3 linked regions of the Tamandua tetradactyla genome follow. The protein of the gene in region 2 interacts with the protein of the main gene of each other region in a biochemical or structural test. Links are inferred from orthologs where the notes say so. Each region holds a gene or a part of one and is shown on either strand. Other genes may lie near its edges.

Region 1 (7,720 bases), on a different chromosome or scaffold from region 2:
TACAGCAGCCTGTCAGAGCAGCCCGTGCCATCAGGGAGTTGGAGGGAGGCTGTTTCCACCCACCTGGCTACAGCTCCTCCTTATCTTTAAGTTATCAAAAAGGGCCCTGTGCTGTCCACCTCATTCCCCTTTCCCACAGGCCCCTATGTGAGGGGCTCCCTGGATGGGACAATAAAGAGTTTTGATTCCACGTGGTGTTCTGTCATTATTTTCTCCTTCTCTGCAGTCCGCTAGTCCCTTTGGCTCATAGCTCCTTAGTGTCCTTGGCCACCTTCACCCCCTGGCAAGGGGTCTGGTTGAGTCGCCTTCATTACCTGGGGCTTGCAGAGACGCCAGCCTCCCTCAGGTACGTCCTGCTTCTGTGCCCAGGCTGTGGGGTACCACCCTTCTCTTTCCATGTCCACCATTCCTTTGCTTTCTCCTTGAGGCAAGCAGGTATTGAAACCCCACCCATAGTCCCTGTTGGGAAGAACTTGGCGGTAGGGTGGGGAGTTGGGGCTAAAGAGGCCTGCGCTTTAACTAGGCAGATCACACCCTTGGGCCCATCCCCCTCAAGCAGGCACACGGTTTGGTATAAGCCAAGTCCCTGGTCCTGTCACATCATCCAGGTTACCAGGCAGAACCTTGTGGTCACATCACGGCCCTGCTCCGCAGCACCGCCAGGCCTCCACCCTTCAAGGCCTTCCATGGTCAAACCATGCCTCCAGCCTTGCAGCTTTTTGCACACTCTGCTTTCCAGCTCTGGTCCTTTGCTTTTCTCCTCTTGAAGTCGTGGCATTTCTTCCCAAGGCCCAACTTAAAAGCCCCCTTCTCAATGAATCTTTTTCAACTCTGCTGTTGTGCCACATGTCTGCCAGTTGAACTAGCCCAGGGTTTTGTCTCTGACTGCCCTGAGGCCCTCGTGCTCATCCTGAGGCCAGGCTCTAGCTGCTGGCCACTGGGGTCCCAGATTGAGGTCTGTCAGCTTGTCCCAGACCCTGCAGAGCTGTGGCTTCTGAGCCTGGACCTCCTCCAGGATGAGGCCAAAGTGCCTCCTCCCTGCTTCAAAGCAATTCCTTATCAAAAATGTGTTGTATATTAGGGTACATCTGAGAATTGGTTGGGGGAAAAAAGAAAAGTTCTACTACTTAAGACAACCCACCCAGCATGATAGATAGAAAAAGTTCTACTGCCCCAGCCCAAGATTAACTGAAAATTAATCTTGGTAAGACAGGACATAACAGGTGTCATAAAAATAATCAACAGTTGTTGAGCGCTTACTATGTGCTAAGCCTTTTTCTAAACATCATTTCATCTTCAAAACAGCCCCATGAGGTAGGTGCTGTCATCTCCAGTTTACAGATGACACCAGCCCACAAAAGCAACTTAATTTGCTGAAGACCAGAGGTAGGAAGAAGCACCACGATTCCGTCTGGCTCTAGAGCCCCCACTTGGAGCTGCCCTGTGAGGTGTCCTCACTGGAGGAGAAGGAGTGAACATGGGAAGGGGCTGCCTCTCCAAAGGGCATGGATGCTGTCACCCCGGAGAAAGGGCAGGGTGCTGGAGGTGAAAAAAAACAACAAAACAGGAAACAAAGAACCAAGAATGGGCTTTTTCTGGGGAAAGAGGATCTAGGATCCAGTTGGTGTGGCATTACAGCTTATCCCTGTTAATAAATTTTCATTTAAAGATGCTCTTTTAAAATAAAGAATGTTGGGCTGTGGCTTTAAAACAAAAAGAAAACTTAAAAAGGCATAAAAGGGTTTGTCTCTTTTTTAATAATAATAAAAAATAACTACAACATTAGATAATTTTAAAAAATTCAAATACCTTAACTACTACTTTTACCTTTATTGCATGTTTCCATTCCTGTGCTTATGTATTTTGATATATTTTAATTGATGAACATACAATTTTATATTTTTTGTTTAACATTGTATATTTTATGCCTCTATATTTGATCACTTTTTTTTAATTTCATAAGCCATTTACCCAATTCTGGGCATTTGGTTCTTTGCTGATGATAACTTTGCAGTAAGCATTTTTAAACATGAAGGTATTTTTTGGTTGAATTTTATCCTTGATAAAATTAATGAGATCTCTGGTCTATCTTTATGAATCTTGAAATCATAATGCTTTGCAGAAGGGTTGAACAGATTTACATCATCTTTAACAATGAATGAATGTATCATTTTGACCACAATTTTACCAATGTTAGGGGTTGAATTTCAGTTAGTTGTTTTGCTAATTTTAATTGGTCTAAAATTTCTCTTTCTTCGATCAGTGAGATTGAATTTTTTCTACCTATTTTATTTCTTGTATGTTTTGCCTATTATCGCTTTCCCTCTTTTGAATTGGGGTTTCATTGTTTTTCATGCTAATCTGTATTACACTTTTAGTTTAATAAAAAATAAAATTAAGAAGCAGGAAGCACTCCTCTCCCCAGTCCTATGAGATGGCTGTCACTGTTGTGTCTGTTTTACAGAGAGAGACAATGAGGCTTACAGAGACTGTCATTGGTCCAAGGCCACATGGGGACCATGTGGCAGAGCCGGAATTTAACACACATCTTTTGGCTTCTAGGAGCCTGGCTCTTACCCACGGGGAGCTGCCTAGAAACTAGCCGCAGTGCAAAGACCAAGAACTCACTTCAGGAAGATTACAGGCGGGTCCTGGGGGGCGGGGGGCGGGGAGCGAAGGGTAGGGAAAGTCTTCCAGCAGTTGGAGGGGGGCACAAATGGATGGAAGTAGAGTCTGTGGCTAAGGCTCTACGGATGTAGGAAATGAAGGATGGGCAGAGCAGATTTATGGTGAGGGGCCTAAGGGTAAGGCTGAGGGGTCTGGCAGCCCAAGAGGAGGATAGACTGTCTTGGGAGGTGGTTAGACTTCTGTCAGTGATGGTGTTTAAGGGAGCCTGGTCTGGTTTGGAGCAGATTTGTGAGTGGGCCAGAGGGTGACCCTAGTTGTTTCCTAGCACCTTCCAAAGTGGAGAAATGACAATAGTTAGGTGTTGGAAAGGGCTCTCTGATAGCTGTGGAATAAAGGGCTGGAGGGGGCGCATGTGAAGGCAGGGAGACACGAGAGGTGGAGGCTTCCAGAAGACGCTGAGCAGGGACTGATATCTGGGCAGTGGGAGGGCAGGTGGAGAAGAGGCACAGATGGGAAAGTCCCTGGGGGAAAGAGAGGGTCTCGTTCAGTGACAAGCAGGGAGAAGTAGGTGGCCTGGGGGGACGGGACCACAGGGGCTCTTTACAGAAGTGGAACCTGGAGATAAAGTTTCAGGTGTGGAAGGGGCCAGAGGAGTTCAGGTTGAGATGACAGCAGGAGATGGATGGAAATAGCCGAGTCGAGGACAGTCACAGCTTTAGGAAGATCAGAACGGAGAGAGGGAGGGAAATTTAGAAACCTGCAGAGTAAACAAAGTTTGATGTCTTCCAGGAGTGAGGACTGCTGGGAGGTGGGAGGGGGGCCTAGAAAGAAACATCCCGTGATTCACGGGAGGAGCTGTGACCAGGATGGTGGGAAGGGCTGGGGATGCTGCTGGCCGCCCTCCTTCCATTCCGGGAGGTGAGCATGGCAGCAACCGCTCCCACAGCGGGCACACAGCCTGTGTCGCACATGTGTATTTATTAAGGGTCTGCAGGGATCTTATTAAATTGTGGTGAAAACCATTGATGAGGGGAAAGGCTCAGAAAAAAGATGGACTTGGAAAAAGAAAATGGGGAAGCCTGGTTCTTGGCTGGCGGGGGGGAGGGACCCCCAGGGGCTGAGTGGTGGCGCCTGTTCCAGAGCCCATGGGGGGAAGGGGGGGAGTGGAGGAGGAGGGGGTTTCCTTTAGAATCCACCCCTTGCCCTACCCCTTTCTTGGGGGTCTGCGAGGTACCCTCTGATCTTTAATCCGTGGCCCCAGGTCAGGGGCAGGGCAGGCCTTATGGAATGAAGTAGGCTTGGGGGATCAGGAAGCTTTGGTAATGCCTTACACTACGCCAGGAATGAAATAGCCTCGAGCTTCGTGGTTCCAAAGCAAGTGCATCTTAGGGCCCAAACCTTCTCTTCTAGGGTGGGGTCGAGTCTGAGAACAGAATGGGATGCCCGGAGGGGCTTCCTGTGGGCAGAGGCAGGGTGTGTGGGAGTCTCAGCCTTGGCACCAAGCTTCAGCAAACAAATGGAGTGCAGGGTGGCAGAGGGGGCAAAGAGGGCTGCTAGCTGCTTATTGCCAGCACCTCCGGAGGCGAGCCTGCATCAAAGGGGCAATGGTTGTTGAAATGGCCATGGGCACTGGACTACGTGGAGAGGGGATCCTGGTCCCTACTAGATGACAGCTTGGGCCAGGCACTTTCATTTTCTTTATAATAGGCTCTTCACACTCTGCTACCCCCAATTTGCACAGGAGGAAATTTTGCAGCTCAGAGAGGTTAGGAAACCTGCACAAGGTCACACAGTGATATAGGATGCCTTACTGCAAAGTATGCAATCCTGCCATTCCCCAGACACCCATTCTACAGAAGGGACAACCAAGGCTCTAAGGGCTGGTGGTTTGCTGGAGTTACTAAGTGAGTTTACTCTGGAACTGGGACCCAACACCTGGCTCCAAAAGCCCACCAAATCACCTCCGGGTGGGGCTGCCCCTGGGGAGCCAGGAGTCCAGGCCCGGTTTTGCATCAGGCCCTGCTGAGAAGGTGTTTCCTCCTTCTTGGTGGGGCAGCTGCTGGAGAGCCTGTTGAGTCAGCCTTAGTCCCTCACGGCTCTTCTCCCAGACCCTGAAACTCACTCGGCTGCCAGAGTCACCCTACAGAGGGGTCCCCTTCCTCACACTGGACCCCCACAGGTAACACAGCTCGGGGCTGGAAGTCCCCTGTTTGGTGTCCTGAGAGGCAGGCACTACCACCTGGAAGCCTTAGCGCTCTCCAGGACCTTAGGTGGGGGAGGCGGGAGTGGGCCAGAGACCGGAACAGCCTGACAGATGGACAGGTTCTTGGGTTGACCGGTGGGTCTGCCCCATAGGGCTGAAACACGGCTGAGAGGACTGGACCCTTGATTCTGTCCTTGAAGAGGGGACTGTGGGGAGGCGGCTGCTGCGGGGCCCTGACCTCAGGCACCCATAACCCAGGCCAGGCATTAGCCGTGTGGGGCGGACGGGGCAGGGTCACTCCTGCAGAGCCTGCCACCTCCACACTCACACTCACACACACACACACACACACACACACACACACACACACACACGGTGGCCTCTGCAGGCCCCAGGGCAGCAGACTATACAGCCCAACACACAGCCCAGTCACACATCCAACACAGGAAGAGACACACACACAGCGCCCACACACAGCCTACACAACCACACTGTCACCCAGATAGTCTTTACACACACCACACAGTTGCCCATGCAGCACCTCACTGTGACAGGACCCACAGACACACACCCAGCCATGCAACGTTCACACACACCAAATACATAGGCTCACAGGCCCCTGGCCCACAGACATGCCGCGAAACGCAGGCTCATCCAGCAGCACGATGTGACACAGAGGCAGACACACGGACCCAGGCACCGGGCCACGGGAGGAGGCTCCCACAGTGTGTCTGTCACACCAGCACCTTCAGCACAGTCGATGCTCAGGAAACACTGTTAGTGTTGAACACGTGGCCATTCACATGCTTATCCGGAGGAGCACAACAGAGACCTGCAGAATGGGGCTGGGGGAAACAGCAGGGGACTGGGGCTGGGCCACGGACACGGACTCAGCCTGGGAGGGGACAGAGCCCAGGAGGCGGCAGTGATGGCGGTGGGTACAAGCCAGGACCTGCCTGCTGAGCCACTCTCTTCCCTCTCGGCCCCGCCTGGTGCCCTGGCAAGGCAGGGGGAAGGGCACCGGAGGGCCGGAGAGGAGGGGAGAGATGGCCCAGCGGGCTCAGGCCACGGCTCAGCTCTGCCCAGGGCTGAGCATGGGCTCCCTGCCACGTCCACGCGCCCCTCAGGGCTGCGCAAATGTTTTCCTTCCGGAGTCACCGTGGGACCTGAGCTTCCCCAGCAGGTCTATGGGCCAGAGGATGGGGAGACCCGCGTGGCCAGAGCCGACAGGCGGGCGCGGGTGATCTGGGCAGGAGGGCGCTGGCAGCAGGGGCATCCCGGGCCCGAGGCCCCAGTGGGAGTGGGTGCGGCCACTCCCTGGGGGCGGGGGGAGGAAGTCGGGGGTGCAGGCTGGGGAGGAGGTTGCCTCAGACAGGAAGGCCAAGTGGGCCAGGGCGGGGTGGAGGTAACGAGTGAAGGGAGGGACGCAGGTTGGGAGGTTCCCAGGGTGGGGGTGTGAGCAGCTGCGTGAGTGTGTGTGCGTGTGTGGGTGTGGGTCTGTGCACATTTCCCAGGTGTGCAGGATCCTTTAGGTGCATTTCCACATGTAACTAATCACATTTTTACCAACTATCTGTTGTGTGCAAATTATGGGCTTTGGGGGCGTTGCCCCATCCCTGCCTTCAAGGAGCTCACAACCCAGTTGGGGGGCAACACGTATGTGTGAAAGTCTGTGTGATTTGTGTGCGTCTGGGGACACATATTTGTCCCGGGCCTTATTCTCGTACATGTGGCCGGGGGTGGGATGGGATGGAGGGGCACCCTGTCCATGCGTGGCCCAGCTCAGTGGAGATCTCGGGCAAACACGCCTCCCGGCTTGTGCCTGTGACTGATGCACCTCTTCCAGGGATGGGCCGTGCGCGTGTCCACGGGCACCCGTTTCTACCTGGGTCAGCATGCGCATGCCCACATGCTCCCCCTCCATGGTCCTCTGTGTGTCTCCACCTTCAGGGTGTGCACATGTGTCTCTGTGCACGTCTTCCAGTGTGTCCCTGAGTGTGTTCCCCCACCCACATATGCACGAGTCTATGGGTATATCTGACCCCGCTGGACCTCAGCCTTCCTGGGGTTGTAGTCTGCCCCCATCCCGGGCACTTGCTGGGGCTGCTCTGCCCCAGAGTGTGCCCCGTATCGGGGCAGAACCTGACATGACCTCTAGTCTGCCCCCAGGGAGCCACGCATGCCCTGCCGGGGCATGACCCCCAGCTGATGCCCCTCAGGGGCCACCCATCGCAAGAGGGGCTCGGGGCCCTGCCCTCCCTCCCCATGGCACACGGGCTGGAGCCTGAGGCCGACAGGCTGCTGGACCTCAGCTTCCTGACCGAGGAGGAGCAAGAGGCCATTGCCGACGTCCTGAAACGAGATGCCCACCTGCGCCAGCTGGAGGAGGGCCGGGTCAGGTGAGGGAGGGCAGACCCTAGTCAGCGGAGCCCAGGAGAAGGGGCCTCAGGCACTGGGAGGGCCCCTGCTACCAATGTCATCCTGGCAGAAGCCTGAGAAGTTCTTGACCTTGCCCTTTGGTTCCCTCTGCCCTTGGCCAGCTCGGAGCTTCCATCCCCCCACCCCAGGGTGGTTGCCCCAGCTTCCTCATCAGCCTCCCTGCCTCCAGCCTTGTCCCCTCCGGTTCCCCTGCCAGGCTGCAGCTGCAGATTCCCAGGCGTGTCCTCGATAGTCCCTGCTGAGACCTCCCACAGCTCCTCAACACCTACAGCGTCCAGGGGAAGGTCCTCAGTGTGGCCCACAAGGCCCCCCTGGATGGGGCCCTGTCAGCCTCCCCACCTCATCTTCCACCAGGAACCATCACCACCCCCAGCTCCCATGTACTCTGTACTCTCACGTACTCTGCAATCCCTGAGTATATCCTTCACTCTTAAGCCAGTGCTGCTGCTT
Region 2 (7,258 bases):
TAATCCTATCTTCTGCCTCTTTGTATCTAACATTGTAGGTTTCTAATGTTTTTTTTCATCTCTTCTACTTTGCCTTTCATTCCCATAAGTTCTGTGATTTGTTTTCTCAGACTTTCGATTTCTTCTTTTTTTCGATTCCTTGCCTTTATATCCTCTCTCAATTCATGGATTTTGATTTTTAATGAAAATTTTCCATGTCTGTCCAAACATCCTGAATTAATTGTTTCAACTCCTGTATCTCATTTGAATTGTTGGTTTGTTCCTTTGATTGGCCACATCTTCAATTTTCCTAGTATGATTCACCATTTTTTGCTGGTGTCTAGACATTTAATTTCCTTAATTAATTTATTCTGGAGATTGTTTTCACTTTTTTTTACCTACGATTTTCTTGTTGCATGACTTCGTTGTCTATCTGTTCTTTGACATTCAGTTCAGCTTATTCTAGACCTCTAACTTAGGTTTTAACAGATCAGAATTTTTCAGATCTTGTTTCTTGCCCTATCTGTTTAGTGCCTTTTTTTCCCTTAGGAGGTTCTACTTAGGTATTATAGACCCCAGTCAGATTTTCCCAGCCCAGACTGGCCACCTCTCAGGAGGAAAGAGTCACCTCTATCAGTTTTCCCTGAGGGTGAGACCCAGCAGATTGAAAGGCTTTCCTGTGAAACCTCTGGACTCTGCATTTTTCCTATCCTGCCCAGTATGTGACACTTTTCTGTCTGCAGGTCCCACCAGCATAAAGTGATGGAGTGCCTTTAATTTCAGCAGTTTCTCCCTGCTGAGGGCGTGGTTGAGGCAGAGGAGAGTTTATAGGCTGGCTTTAATTGCTTCAGTTTTCCAGACCCGGGGGTCTGAATTCCTTCAGGGAGGGATTCCACCTGAGCTGGCCCCACCCGTTTCCAGGGGAAGGCACAGGCTCCAGGGAATTAACTCCTTTCATCTGATCAGCCACTTTGCTGCTCAGATAAGCTTAATTTTGCCCTGGTCTTGGGCAGTTGGAGCCTGAGAAGCCTTGCAGTTGTATGTAAGGAGCAATCAAGCCAAAGAAACACAGCCACAAAAAAGAACAGTAAAAAAATCCTTTTCAGTACAGGCCCCTGTTCTTCGGGTTTGTCAATCAAGAACTTAAGTTGGTATGCTGCTCTGTGTATCTCCAGGTCCTATGTGTGCCTCCTTTCCTTCAGGACCCAGGCCCTTACAAGTACTTTGTACTGTCTGATCCAAAAAAACCTTTTTTTTTTTTTTCTTTTCTTTTTCTGTCAGCCCTGCCCCCTCTGTGTGGGGGCAAAACCCAGCAACCTCAGCTTTTACTTGAGGTTCAGTTGAGCTGGGGGCCTATTTTTAGTAGTCAGTATTTGTTAATTAATTCCACAATTGGAGCTTGGTTGAGCTCAGCTCCTGCTGTTAGTAAAGTCTCTTTCCTTTCCCCTCTGGGAAGCAGCCTGTGGGGGAGGGGTGCCGGCCACTGTGGTTTGGGGCACTCATGGTTCTGGGGAGGCTCGCAGCCAGTCCAGCTGTTCCAGACTGGGGTATGCTGTGTGTCTGGTCAGTGATGTGGCCCCAGCAGTTGTTCTGTACTGTTCCTGGCTATTTACTAGCTGCTCTGAAGGATGAACTAAATTCCACACCTCACTAAGCTGCCATCTTGGACCTCATTTACTTTTTTTTTTTTTGGATTGGCAGGCACCAGGAAATGAACCCGGGTCTCCCGCATGTCACGTGAGAACTCTGCCTGGTGTTCCACTGTGGCCTGCCCTCATTTATTTTTTCATATAACCATTGGGATTTAAAGAAAATTTTATTTATTTGTTAAACATGACAACATACAAACATAAACATTCTTATCATATGATCATTCCATTCTTGATATATAATAAATAACTCAAAATATCATCACATAATTGTATATTCATCATCATGATCATTTCTTAGAACATTTGCATCAATTCAGAAAAAGAAATAAAAAGGAAACAGAAAAAAATTCATACATATTATACCCCTTACCCCTCCCTTTCATTGATCACTAGCATTTCAATCTACTAAATTTATTTTAACATTTGTCCCCCCTATTATTTATTTTTAATCTGTATATTTTACTCATCTGTTGATAAGGTAGATAAAATAACCACTGGGATTTCGATAGTGATTGTGTCAAATCTGCAGATTGCTTATTGGATATCTTCCCATTTGTTTGAGTCTTGTTTAATTTCTTTGAGAAATGTTTTGTAGTTTTCATTCATAAATCCTTCACTTCTGTGGTTAAATTTATTCCTAGGTATTTCATCCTTTTGGATGCTATTGGTGTAAATAGCAACTAAGAAAACGGGTTCTTAGTTCAAGTCCTGGCTCTGCCACTCATTAGCTGTATGACCTTGGTCAGGTTGCTCAGTCACTACAAGACTCAGTTTACGTATATGTAATACAAGGATGGGAATGGTATCTACTTCATAGGGCAGTTGTGAGAAATAAATGAGAGGATCCATGTAAAGTTCTTATCATATTGTCAGGCTCATAGTATTAAATAATCAATAAATGTTAGCTATTATCATTATCAGTATTCCAGGGAGCTTCATAATACAGCCTCCATTTATTTCTCTTGTTTCTTCTCTGATTGCTTCCTTCCACTCAGTATGTTAGGTTCTCAGACCTTCTTTCAGTTGTTCCAATATCTCATGCTTTCATTCTCCTCTGGGCCATTCCTCCAATCTCTGTTCCTACAATTCACCCTCATCCTTCCACCATATCCCTCCTTCTTAATTTTGACATCATTTTTTTCTGGAATGGCTTAATTATGTGTTACTTATCTGTGTTCCAGTTATACTCTTTCACTTCTCTTATTAGGGCCCTTATCTCAGTACTGGTGTTGGCTGCTTATTATTGGTCTCCTACTCTATGACTACAAGTTCCCTCAGAATAGGGCCAATTTACTTTCCTTGTTCACTTATTGCAGCCCTAATACAGTGTCTGACTTGTTAAATAAATGAATACGCCGTGAATGGGCCACAGGACCACTGTCCATTTTCTGATCCCCTGCCTGATAAACTCCTGTCCATAACCATGTTGGTTATGTGGGGGAGTAAAAATGGGGGTTCCTTTCCCTGTATCAGATTAGCCATTAGCAGTTCCTGCATTGTTGTTTCCCCAGAACTTAGGTGATCGGTGGTTCCCAGAACTGTTCCTGAAGACATAAACATGGGGCTACTTTTCCTTTCTTAACCCCCCAACAGTATGGTGGTCTTTGTGAAACCATCCCTCTGTGATGAATCCCAAGATCACTGCCACTATTTGGCAATTTCATATGGTTTATCCTATACATGATTTTGTAAATTGGACACATATACGAGAAACTGTATTATCATGCAAACTGTCAGTAACTACAGACTGGAAGAATGACGGTGTTAGATAGGAGTGCTGGGGCAGATGGAATTTGTGGTGGAAGTAGACACACGAATAATGAGATGGACAGGCAAAAGAAGCTGGACGAGGACTTCCAACCACTAAGCCACACCTAGATGTGGAATCATTTGGCTCAGAGTTGCTTTGCCTGAGAAACCACAGGGTAGGTCCATAGTCTACTTTTCACATCTCGGGGCTGCGTCCGGGTGAGAACCAGAGGACCTGACTTTGCCTCAGAGCCGCAGAAGGCGCTGCGGCTCACACAGAATGGCTGGCGCTGAGAGAAGAAACCTCTGGGTGGCAGCAAAGGATAGCAGATTCCTCCCGCCAGCTGCCGTTCTTCAAAGAATTCGTCTACTGCGTTCTTAGAAATTCAGAGTGATTTTTATAATCCGAATGAGAACGTGCGAGGAGAGATCTCTTTGGTCATTTCCCCCCAGAATCATATAAATAGTCACTTCCATGAATCCCAGCGCTTTCTCCTCACCTCGGGAAGGCCATGTCCAGGCTAATCCGAGTGAGGAGCTGGGAGCGCCGGATGGACGGTGAACAGAGCCGGATGGACGGTGAACAGAGCCGGACGCCCGGCGCGGATCCGGCCCCCGCAGGCTGGGACAGGGGGCGCCAAGGGCGGGAGCCCCCCCCGGGCCTCGGGAGCCAGGGGCGATGTGCAGCCTTTCAGCGCATCTGGCCACTACGGTGGAGTCACCGATCTGATGCCCTGGGGAACACCTTTGGAAAATGGCTTTGGGGGAGGAGATTTGGCGAGTCAACCAAACCACACCTCGCAGCGCGACGATCCTGGAGCAATTTGTAAATGTCACCCCCGTGTCTCAAAACGAAAACAACCCCTGCCCACCGCTAAGCTTTCGCGCCTTCCAGGAAAGGACAGTGGAGACCTGGCCTGGGAGAAATGAGACACACGGAGCCCTTTGGGACTCACGAGAGAACCCCGAGGTGGGGTCCGTCCCCGGCTCCCTCGGCAGGTACGGCGCGCCCGGGAGCCGCGCGGGAGAAGGGCGCCCGCAAAGCTCCCCACCAGGCGGCCCCGCGGCCCGCACTCCCGTCCCCAGAATAGGGCGGGGGGTGCGCTCTGAGGTGACAGGAGGAAGAGGGAGGTGGAGGGGAAGAGAGGAGGTCCCGCCCCACCTCGCTCTCCTTTACGGGAAGTGATGTGGGGCCAGACGGAAAATACCGCCAACCACCCCCCAAAACGCCGGCCGCGGGTGGAGGCGGCGCGCGGGGAGAGCTCGCAGCGGTGGGAACAGCCAGGCCGAGCCAGGTGAGGGCGGGCAGCTGCCGCAGGCCCGGGGTGCGCCCTCCGGCTCGGGGCGCTTTCAAAGCAGGTGGCAGTTCATCCCGGAGGGCTGGGCAGGCTGCCGGCACGTGGCACTTCGGGCTCTGGGTTGGGGGTGCGTGGCTGCAGCTCGGTTTCTCCCCACCTCTGCGCGCCTGACCCCGCCAGAAAAGTTGCTTTGTGTATCCCAGGCCCTCAGAACAGTGGCCAGCGATGACAGCCACTGGGGCAGCGGGTCAGCCCGGGCGAGGATCACATCCCGCGCAGCCCGAGCTCGGGCGGGGGTCCGAGGTCACCTCGGGATGGGCTCCAGGTGCGAAGGATCCCGTGAGGGAATGAGGAAACTTCACTGGTGGAGAGCACGAAGGTCCTGGATCTCCCAGATCTCTCCATTCCTCTCTTCTTGTTGGCTTCCCTCCTGTTTTGTTTTGTTTCATTTTACTTTTTTTTTTTTTAACCTCTTTACAGTCTTTCTGGTAAGGATCCGGACTGCAAACTAGCTGGAGTGGGGTGGGGATGGAGGTCTCCCTTTTTCTGTCAAACAAAAAACCCCACCAGACAGGAAGCCAGACCCTCGGGCCAGCCGATGTGTTGACAGGTTTTGGTAACTATTGCCAAAGCTTTCTCTTTCCTAATAGATCACCGATTAAGCAGAGTCAGACCTGAAGTGAAGGAAATCTTGTGAGTCCTTGACTTGACTTAGCTTTCACCGTCTTTGGCTCCTGCTGGCCAGTTGGGCCACCTGGTCTCTGAATCTTCTGCCACAGGGTCCTTTTCCTTACCTGATGTTGGCAGACGGTTTTTCCCTAATGGCTGGCTGATCAGTCAGATGTGCTGGTGCGGGATGGGGAGTGAAGTATTATGCCATGTAAGTTTTCACTAATTATAACTAATTTATTTTATTGGTACTCCACTGCTCCTGTTGCTTCTTTCTAGGTCTCCTAAGAGCTTGATTTAGGGAGAAATACTGAAATTAACCTTAACACGTCTGGAAAACAGGGTTTCTGCAGAAGGTTAAAAGTGAAGGAAGGTTGTTAATACAATGCTGAGGTGACAAGATCATTCTTTTCTATATTTCTATGTAGAAATATTTCTTGTATTTCCATATTTTATGTTATGTATCTTTATTCTTTTTTTTTTTTTGCATCTTTCAATTTCTATGGCATGCCTTGGTTTTCAATTTTGATGAAGCCCAGTTTTGCTATTTTTCTTCTTTTGTTGCTTGTGCTTTTGGCAGCATATTTAAGAAACCATTCCCTCTTCCAAGAATTTGAAGATACATAACTATGTTTTTTTCCTAATAGTTGTTATAATTTTAGCTCTTATATTTGGGCCATTGATCCATTGTAAGTTAATTTTTGGATATGGTAGGAGGTAAGAGTTCAACTTCATTGTTTTGCATGTGATGTATAGTTGTTGCAGCACCATTTTGTTGAAAAGGCTTTCTGCATTGAATGGTGTTGTGCCCTTGTAAAAAATCAATTAACTGTAAATGTGAGGGTTTATTTCTGGATTCTTGGTTTTATTCTATTGATCTATATATTTCTGTCTTCATTCCGGTACCATACTGTCTTGATTACTGTAGCTTTGTAGTAAGTTTTGAAATTGGGGAGTGAGTTCCCAACTTTGTTCTTTTTCAGGATTGTTTTATCTATTTTTGGGTCCCTTGAATTGCTATATGAATTTTAGGATCAGCTAGTTAATTTCTGTCATCTTGGCTTTAGAGTAGATGGAGAGGTTTGAAGTGGGCAGCAATCTCTAGGAACCAGACTTGATTTTCTCCTCCTGGAATTCTCTAGTAAATGGCAACTTCATTCCAGCTCTGGCTAAAAATCCTGGAATCATCCTTGATTCTCTTCTTTTTTGTATACCCGACATGTGACCCCGAGAAAATTCCATTGATTCTGCCTTGAGAACACGTCTAGGATATAACTGTTTTTCACCATCTCCACTGCGTTTATCAAGCTCCTCTCATCTCTGTCACCATCTACCTTTTATAGAAGCCTCCTAATTGACCTCCCTGCTTATACCCTCACTACTCTACAGTTTATTCTCAACGTAGCAGCCAAAATGATTCTTTCAAAACTTAAGTCAATCATGTCATTTGCTCCTCTGCTTAAAAGTCTAATGACTTAAGAAACTTTTTATTTTGAAATATTTTCAAACTTACAAGACAGTTGCAAAAAATAATACACAACCTATACGGTAAACTCCAATACACCTCCCACGCAGATACCTATATCCACCAACTTTTAACATTTTCACACATTTGTGTTACCATATCATTCTACCCATCATCTATATCCATCTATCATCTATTTCCTAAACATTTGAATACAGATTGTATATATCGTGCTCCTTGAACACTTAATACTGCCATGTACACATCCTAAGAACAGGTCTCCAATGGCTTTTTATCTCAGAAGAAAAAACAAATTCCTCATTGTTGCCTCCAAAGCCCTTATATTGTGTGTGGCTACCTCTGACTTCATCTATCACTCTTGCCTTTATTTCCTCCGTTCTAGTCACGCTGGCTTCCTTGCTGTTCCAGGATGTGCACCCACCTCA
Region 3 (7,292 bases), on a different chromosome or scaffold from region 2:
ACAGTAATTTTATATATATATATATATATATATATATATATGAAGGAAACAGTGGGCAACAGCATCAAACATTGCTAGAGGGTCAGAATAAAATAAAACACAAAAACAATCACTGCTCATTTTACCAAGGAGTCCCTATCTTTTGCTTTTATATCCTGGTAAGTAATGGTTTGGCTTCCCTTCTCCCCAAGAGGCTTTTTAAAAAATAGTATATGTCCACTTCAGAATAAATCACTTGAATAGGTCTTAAAAGTTTTCAGCCCTTCATTACCAATTTCCAAAGAAAAACCAGTCCTGAACTTAGTCTTGGCCATAGATAAAGGAACCCATCCTCAGTACAATTCAGCACATTTTCCCCTGACCTGTACTCTCTTCTTGAATTCAGCAGCAAAACCTGCTTATTGACATTTGTATACACCTCCATTTTACTCCCTTCCTTTGAATGTCCTTCTCCCTTCTCCCCTTCTACCATACATTTCAAAAGTATAAGTAGAATGTATGAAGAACTCTAACAACTTAACAATAAAAAGACAAGTAACACAATTGAAGAAAGTTAGACATGCTAATAGATAATAAGCACATGAGAAGATGCTCAACATCATTCATTAGTCATTAAGGAAATGTACAGCAAAATCACAATGAGATGCCACACTTCACACCCACTAGGTTCTATGATTTTTAAAAAGACACATAAATACAAGCTTTGGTGAGGATGTTGAAAAATGAAAACTCCCATACATTGCTGGTGGGAATGTAAATTGGGGCAGTTGCTTTTGAAAGTGGTCTGGCAGTTCCTCAGACGGTTAAACAGAGTTCCCAGATGACCTAGCAATTCATTCATAGGTATATACCTAAGAGAAATGAAAACATATGTCCATATAAAAATGTATTCACGAATGTTCATGACGGCATTATTCATAATAGCCAAAAGTGGAAATAACCGAAATGTCCATCGATTGATGAAAGGATAAATAAAAAGTAGCATATCATTATTCAACAGCAAAAAGAAGTACTGATACATACTACAATGTGGATGAACTTGAAAACTTTACACTAAGTGAAAGAAGCAGTCATAAAAGACTACAAGTTATGTGATTTCATTTACTTGAAATGTCCAGAATAGGCAAATCTTTAGAGACAAAAATTAGATTAGTGGTTCTCTAGGGGAGGGAGATGTTGGAAGGAAATGGGGAGTAACTGCTAATAGGTAGGTGGTTTCTTTTTGGGGTGATGAAAGTATTCTAAAATTCACTGAGGTTATACTTGCTTGCACAACTCTATACTAAAACCCACTGAATTGTGCACTTTAAATAGGTGAATCATATGGTATGTGAATTACATCTGAAGAAAGCTGTTATTAAAATAAAAGTGTAAGGAGACCAAATTTTTTTCTAAGGAGCCATTTGTAACTATTCCCATTCAGCTTGGGGTCACCAGAGTTTTCTTTTTGTATTTATGCATGCAATCCTGCTCAATTGCATTTGCCTATACAGGGCCCTTTCTTTCTGTGTACTTTGTGCTTACCTATGCATTAGCATTCTAATCCTCAATTAATGCTACGCTATGCCTTCTCTACCTGTATGTCTAGAATTTCCAGAGAACATTATACAATCATGTGAATTGAACCTCAGAATGGAGGAGTACATGGGCTTCAACTATATTGGCAATGCTTTATTTCTCAAGCTGAGTGGTGGGCATGTCCTTGTTGCTATATTATTCTTTATATGTTTATGAATTTTAAAATATTTAATACTTTTTAAAAAAGTAATTGTTCAATACCGTCACCTGGGGCTGAGGAAAATCTCCATCTCTTTAGTTTGCAATAGCCAAAACTCCTTCAAAGTGGCAAAGCAGAACAACTCCATGAATCAAATTATTCACAATGGATTAGGAGCTTACATGCTATATATAAAACGATAATCCATAAATTCATGCTTACATTTTTGCACAGGATAGCACCTGGGTTTGCTTGCGTTAGATCCTTCAAACTATTTAGTATATGAATCCTTGTGGCAGACAAAGAGGATCAAATAGAAATTGATAGCAATTTGCAAAGTACAGAATATATGTAAGCAAACCATTGATTAACTTTGTTTTGGTTCATTGTTTATGTTGGTGTCTCTGTGTATTTGCAGCTGGGTTAGTGAGACGCTTAGAGAAGACCAGTCAGATCCTCACATACTCTTTAATGAGGCAGACCTTGCAGGGTTAGAAATTGCACATGTAGAAAGAAGTAAACGCTTAAAATAATATCTCGAAATTTTGCAACTTGCTGATGAATAAGAGGGTTGAACTAAATGTTTTCTGAAGTCCCTTCTGGCTGAGGGTGTTAGCAGTTCTCCCCAAGTACCTCCTGGGAAGGGGCAGAGAAGTGCTTGGTCTGAATGCCCACAGGCCAGGGCGAGAGAAGACTCCTATGCCTCTCGTACATCATTTCCACGACGGAGGTTTGGGAGATGCATTCAAAGCTCAGGGCTGAGTAGAGTGGCCTCGAGGCTGAAGTGGCAAAGCTAGGTAGAAAAAAAGGATTTCCTTTTTGAAATGACCTCACTTCAGGCTGGGGGCAGGGTATTGAGGGGCTAAAGTAACTAAGAAAACTCTGGGAAAGAGCCTGGGAGCTGTATTTTACTGTTTGTCTGCTAGAATGAAGAAAATTTTTTTCTTTACCTTTTTAAGATTTTAAAAAAGATTTGTTATATTATCAAAGCCATACATGCTCATTACAGGATAGTTGAAAAATACAGAAAAGAAGAAGAAAAATGAAAATTCATTTAGTCCATTGTATGACCATATTTTAATTTAAAAAATTTTTGTTTTGTAGTATAACGTATATACAAAGAGAGAGAAAAGCAATAGTTTTCAAAGCACTCTTCAACAAATAGTTACAGGACAGATCCCAAAGTTTGTCATGGGCCAACATATGATCCTCTCAGGTTTCTCCTTCTAGCTGCTGCTCCTGAATATAGGAGGTCAGAAGGCATAAATATTTTTTTATCATCACAATCGACTTTTTTTCTTTTTTGTGAAAAATGACATATATACAAAAAAGCAATAAATTTCAAAGCACAGTACTACAATTAGTTGTAGAACATATTTCAGAGTTTGGCATGGGTTAGAATTCCACAATTTTAGGTTTTTACTTCTGGCTGCTCTAAGCTACTGGAGACTAAAAGAGATCAATTTAATGATTCAGCAATCACATTCATTTGTTAAATCCTATCTTCTCGGTGACCATACTTTAATTTACTTAACCATTGAACCATTAGTTTTCTTCCCTAGTATTTTACTATTCTAAGAAATACAAGGAAGGTAAGTGGTGTGTTGGAGAAGGAAGCCAGGTTGCTGGAGAATAAGAGATGAATGAAAGGTAGGAGAATGGAAATAGGAATGTACCTTTAAAGTACATTTTCAATCAACTTGCCTATAAAGAGGAGCTGGAGTCGACTTCGTGCGTAGGGAGGATATATATTTTTTAAGGTGAAGGAGAATTGAGCATGTTTAATTGCTGATGACAGCTTCAGAGAGGCTTGAACAGGTTTAATGGCTAATGAGAGGGAGGGAGGGAGAGAGTGAAACCTACAATCTACAATACTGGGTAGATATGAACATTTTAAAATCTATTAGTATATATTGCTCAGGAGCTTTGTAAGACGGTTTTTACCAGTACACTCCTACTAGCAAGTCTGAGAGAGCTCGTCCGTGGCCACTTTGCTATCCGTAAGTTACAATAATAATAAAAAAAAATTTGCTAAAGAATCGCATCATTCTAATTCGCTTTCTTTGATTACTAGTGAGCTGAATATTTTAACCAGTTGTTCCTTGTGTGTACATTTAGTTTATGTCCTTTGCCCACCATGTTTTTATTTGAGACACTCTTATTTGCCATAAAAAGCCGAAAGCCAAAGGATCAGAATGATATAACATTTTAGGCTTCCAATTTATGCAGTCCAGAGTCTTCATATTCTTAAGTACACGACAGTTTGACAACTTTGGGCCCAGCTGAGCGGAAGAAGGTAATTTTTACCATCGAAGAGAGTAGGCACAGATGGAAGTAAAGTCTTAAAACCGTCTAGTCTTAAAAACCTGTCTTCAGTCCTCAAGCTCCCTTTCCTAACCCGGGAGACACCCATTTGGTGGCCAGAGCTGCCCTGGCGGGAGTGGCCCGCTAGTAAGGAGCCCAGAACGCTGTGCGGCCCCTTTAAGAGTCCAGCTCCTCCCCGCTCCAAAGAAAGTTGCAGCTTTTTCCGCCTCCCGGGAGGGTGAGAAGGACGGGCCGCAGGAACGGGCTTGTGGTCTTCCTGGAGTTTGAGACTCTCCTCTGAATCCGGCCCTCGGACATCTCATCTGCTCGCAGCACTTATTGCAGGTGACAGGTAGGTGCGCGACCAGCGGCCGCCCCTTCTCCCTCAGTCCGGTGCTCCTTCTGGGCCCCCAGTCCCCTTTTCGTTTCCGAAGCGCCCCCTCCCACTCCGCGTCTCAGGGACCTGCGTCCTTCCCCCACGCCCCTTACGCCATTCTTGTCTTTCCTTCTTCCTCGCTGACCGTCTGCCCCCTCACCCCTATTCGCCTCTCTGGACCGACCACCCACGCGTTGCCTCCAGTGTGCTTGGGGCGGTCACTCCCTGCTGGTTTTCTTTCTCCCGGGCCTCTAGTGTCCTCTTCCCCTGGCCCACCCGTTACTAACGCGGGCGGTGCCCCTGTGGGCTCTGCCTCCTCCCTTCCCCACCCCCACGGAGTGCACCGGCTTTTCCCGCCTGCCAAAAACCAGGGCCCCTCGGGAGAGCTAGCCGTAGGGGCGGGGATAGGGGCCAGCTCCTAGCGGAACTGTGGCGCCCTCCCAGGCGTCGAGTCCCATTCCCATCGATTCCTCCTGGCCCGAGTGCTAGCGGGATCTCTGCTGCTCACTGCCTCAGGACCTCGGACTTCGCGGCATCGGCTTCCCCAGCCTTGGCCGGTCCGCCACTGGTAAAGGCTGGAGGCTTGTTGGCCCAGAGCCCTGCCTCAGTGGGCTTTCTCAGCGCTTGGGGTTGGTGACCCGGGACCAGGCTTTGTGCTCTAGCACTGAAATGCTTTGTCTTGCCATCCTTTAAGCAGGCTGCGGGGGGAGGGGGGTTGCTTCTGGAGGAGAGTCCCCGTAACCTTCAGAAGGGGGCTTAGAATGCTTCCAGCTTCTGTGATGGTTTGTAATGGGCAGAAAAGGTGTCCCTAATAGCTCTTAACGTTGAATGAGATGGTTGGGTTTTTTTGAAGGTAAAATCTTTTGGTTAGAACCCTAGTGGCTTAAAGTGACTTGTTTTTCATTAACCGACTTTTTCTTCCCCCAGTGCCCTGCTGCTTCGGACCAGAAGACCTAGCATTCCAGAATACAGCTTTTGGCAGGGTTGGCCCTAGACCTTGTACGTTTGTGGCAGAAATTAGTCTTCAATACATCCTGGACTTACAGGTTTTTAAATGGCTTCTTTCCTGCCCTCTCAACTCCCCACCTCCACCTCTCATAAATCCATTCATATTAAGGTGTTAATGACCTAATGTGTTTATCCTGCTGGTCTGCAGAGAGAACTCTTTAATGCAAAGAGTTGAGGTGCTGATGAAGTTTTTTTTTTTTTTTAGCACCTGCTGGAAATCCTAGTAGAAAAACACCACCTTGGTTTGTGAGGCTTTTCTTGGGCAGGGGATGAACATTTTGGATAACAACATTTCAGGTACCTCACTCCTGGTCAGAGCGGTAAAATGGAGGTCAGAGTGTACTCCTTGAGTGTGTGTAGATTCTGGTTGATGGCCTCTCCTTAAAGGTTGCTGGTAATAATAGTTGTTAGACTCCATTGAGCCAGTGTAATAAACTCATTGCATGGTTATCTCATATAATCCTCATGATAACTCTGCAATAAAACTACAATTATGACCATATTATGATGAAAAGGAGGCTTAAGTGCCTTGTCTCAATCACCCACCTGATGAGGGGCAGAACTGGGCCACCTGACTGCAGAGCTTGTGTTTTTATCCTCTGTCATAACACCTCTACTGTCTTGGATATTAGGAATGCTAATTGCTCATGACTGAGGACTAAGTGATTAAAAATATCCCTTCCAAGATGAAACATAAGTTTTGATCCTTGATTCTACTTTAGATTCACTGTGGAGACTTTGGACAATTTACTTCAATGATGTCTTACCCACTTTCCTTCCAACATGGGGCCAATTGCTATGTTGCCACTCTAAGCACATACCTTTGTGTGTATCCAGATGAGTGAAACCTGGGCTTTCAGCTCAGTAGTGATTCTCCCGAAGTTAGGAGAGGGTAACCCTGGATTCTAGGGATGTGCACCTGGTTCAACTTCTTCCTCTTCTTCTGGCTAGGGGAGAAATGAAGGTGTGGTAGGTGATAATGATTTACCTACAACCAGGCCAGAGAGCCTGATGATGATTGTGTGCTTGTTTTGTCATGGCATGCATGGGGCATACCATTTTTGGGTAGGGATAGTCCAGGGTAAAATGTCCTCCTTGATCTCATCTCTGAGACATTGCTCACACTGCTCCCCTCCCCTTTTTTTCCTAAAAAAGCTAACTTGCTACCTGCACACACACACCAACCATTAATTTTTATTCATCTCTAAATATTTAGCTCTAAAGTCACCTTCTTTGGGACAAACTCACTGAATACTCACTTCCTTCCCCTAAGCAGAAGGACTGATTACCCCGTGTCCTAAGGCAGTTGTTTATACCTCAGTAGAGCCAACACTTATCCTACCTGTTTTTCCATGTAAGGTTGTACCCTCTTTAAAGGGCAAGGTCTGGATCTTGGAGTTCTCTTTGTCCTAAGTGCAAGGGATTAACAAGTATTTGTACTATTAACTGGGGATGTAGTGCCCTCAATGGCCTGAGGTCTGGTGATGGTGTGAAGTACAAAAGACATCCTCCTGAGGCACTTGAAATCCTGCAGCTCAGTGTTTTTACTTAAATGTCACCTTGTCAATCAGGCCTTCCCTGACCACCCTATTTGAAATTGCAACTGCTTTTCTGAGCATTCTGTATAATCCATCCCTTCTTGATTACTCTCATTTTTCTTGCCTGTTGTCTTTCTCCCTCCAATATAACATAAGCTCCCTGTGGGCAGGGACTTCTCTGTTTTATTCGCTGGTATATCCCAGCACCCAGAACAGAGCCTGGCATATCGTAGGTGCTTACTAATATTTGTTAAATGAATTGATGAACGACAGTACCATTCTATGAACTGGCATTCTTTTGTGGTCTCCTGGACCTAAGGTGAAGCCCTACCCAGTTGGACACACTATA

What was found.
Region 1: the proteins of RAB27A (region 2) and SYTL1 form a complex in vitro, tested with the Homo sapiens proteins (3 studies listed by BioGRID). The link is inferred for Tamandua tetradactyla from reciprocal best matches to the Homo sapiens genes RAB27A and SYTL1.
Region 3: the proteins of RAB27A (region 2) and SYTL4 form a complex in vitro, tested with the Homo sapiens proteins (2 studies listed by BioGRID). The link is inferred for Tamandua tetradactyla from reciprocal best matches to the Homo sapiens genes RAB27A and SYTL4.

Annotation. Positions count from the first base shown.
Region 1 is NC_135328.1:198,921,530-198,929,249, reverse strand, and holds the start of SYTL1 (synaptotagmin-like protein 1), read left to right. Parts: upstream 1-4,673; 5' UTR 4,674-4,807; intron 4,808-6,989; 5' UTR 6,990-7,039; coding exon 7,040-7,230; intron 7,231-7,720.
Region 2 is NC_135340.1:70,437,259-70,444,516, reverse strand, and holds the start of RAB27A (ras-related protein Rab-27A), read left to right. Parts: upstream 1-4,164; 5' UTR 4,165-4,379; intron 4,380-4,543; exon of another isoform or gene 4,544-4,675; intron 4,676-7,258. UniProt on the Homo sapiens protein: Small GTPase which cycles between active GTP-bound and inactive GDP-bound states. In its active state, binds to a variety of effector proteins to regulate homeostasis of late endocytic pathway, including endosomal positioning, maturation and secretion.
Region 3 is NC_135353.1:73,163,823-73,171,114, forward strand, and holds the start of SYTL4 (synaptotagmin-like protein 4), read left to right. Parts: upstream 1-4,243; 5' UTR 4,244-4,373; intron 4,374-5,324; 5' UTR 5,325-5,396; exon of another isoform or gene 5,397-5,443; intron 5,444-7,292. UniProt on the Homo sapiens protein: Modulates exocytosis of dense-core granules and secretion of hormones in the pancreas and the pituitary. Interacts with vesicles containing negatively charged phospholipids in a Ca(2+)-independent manner.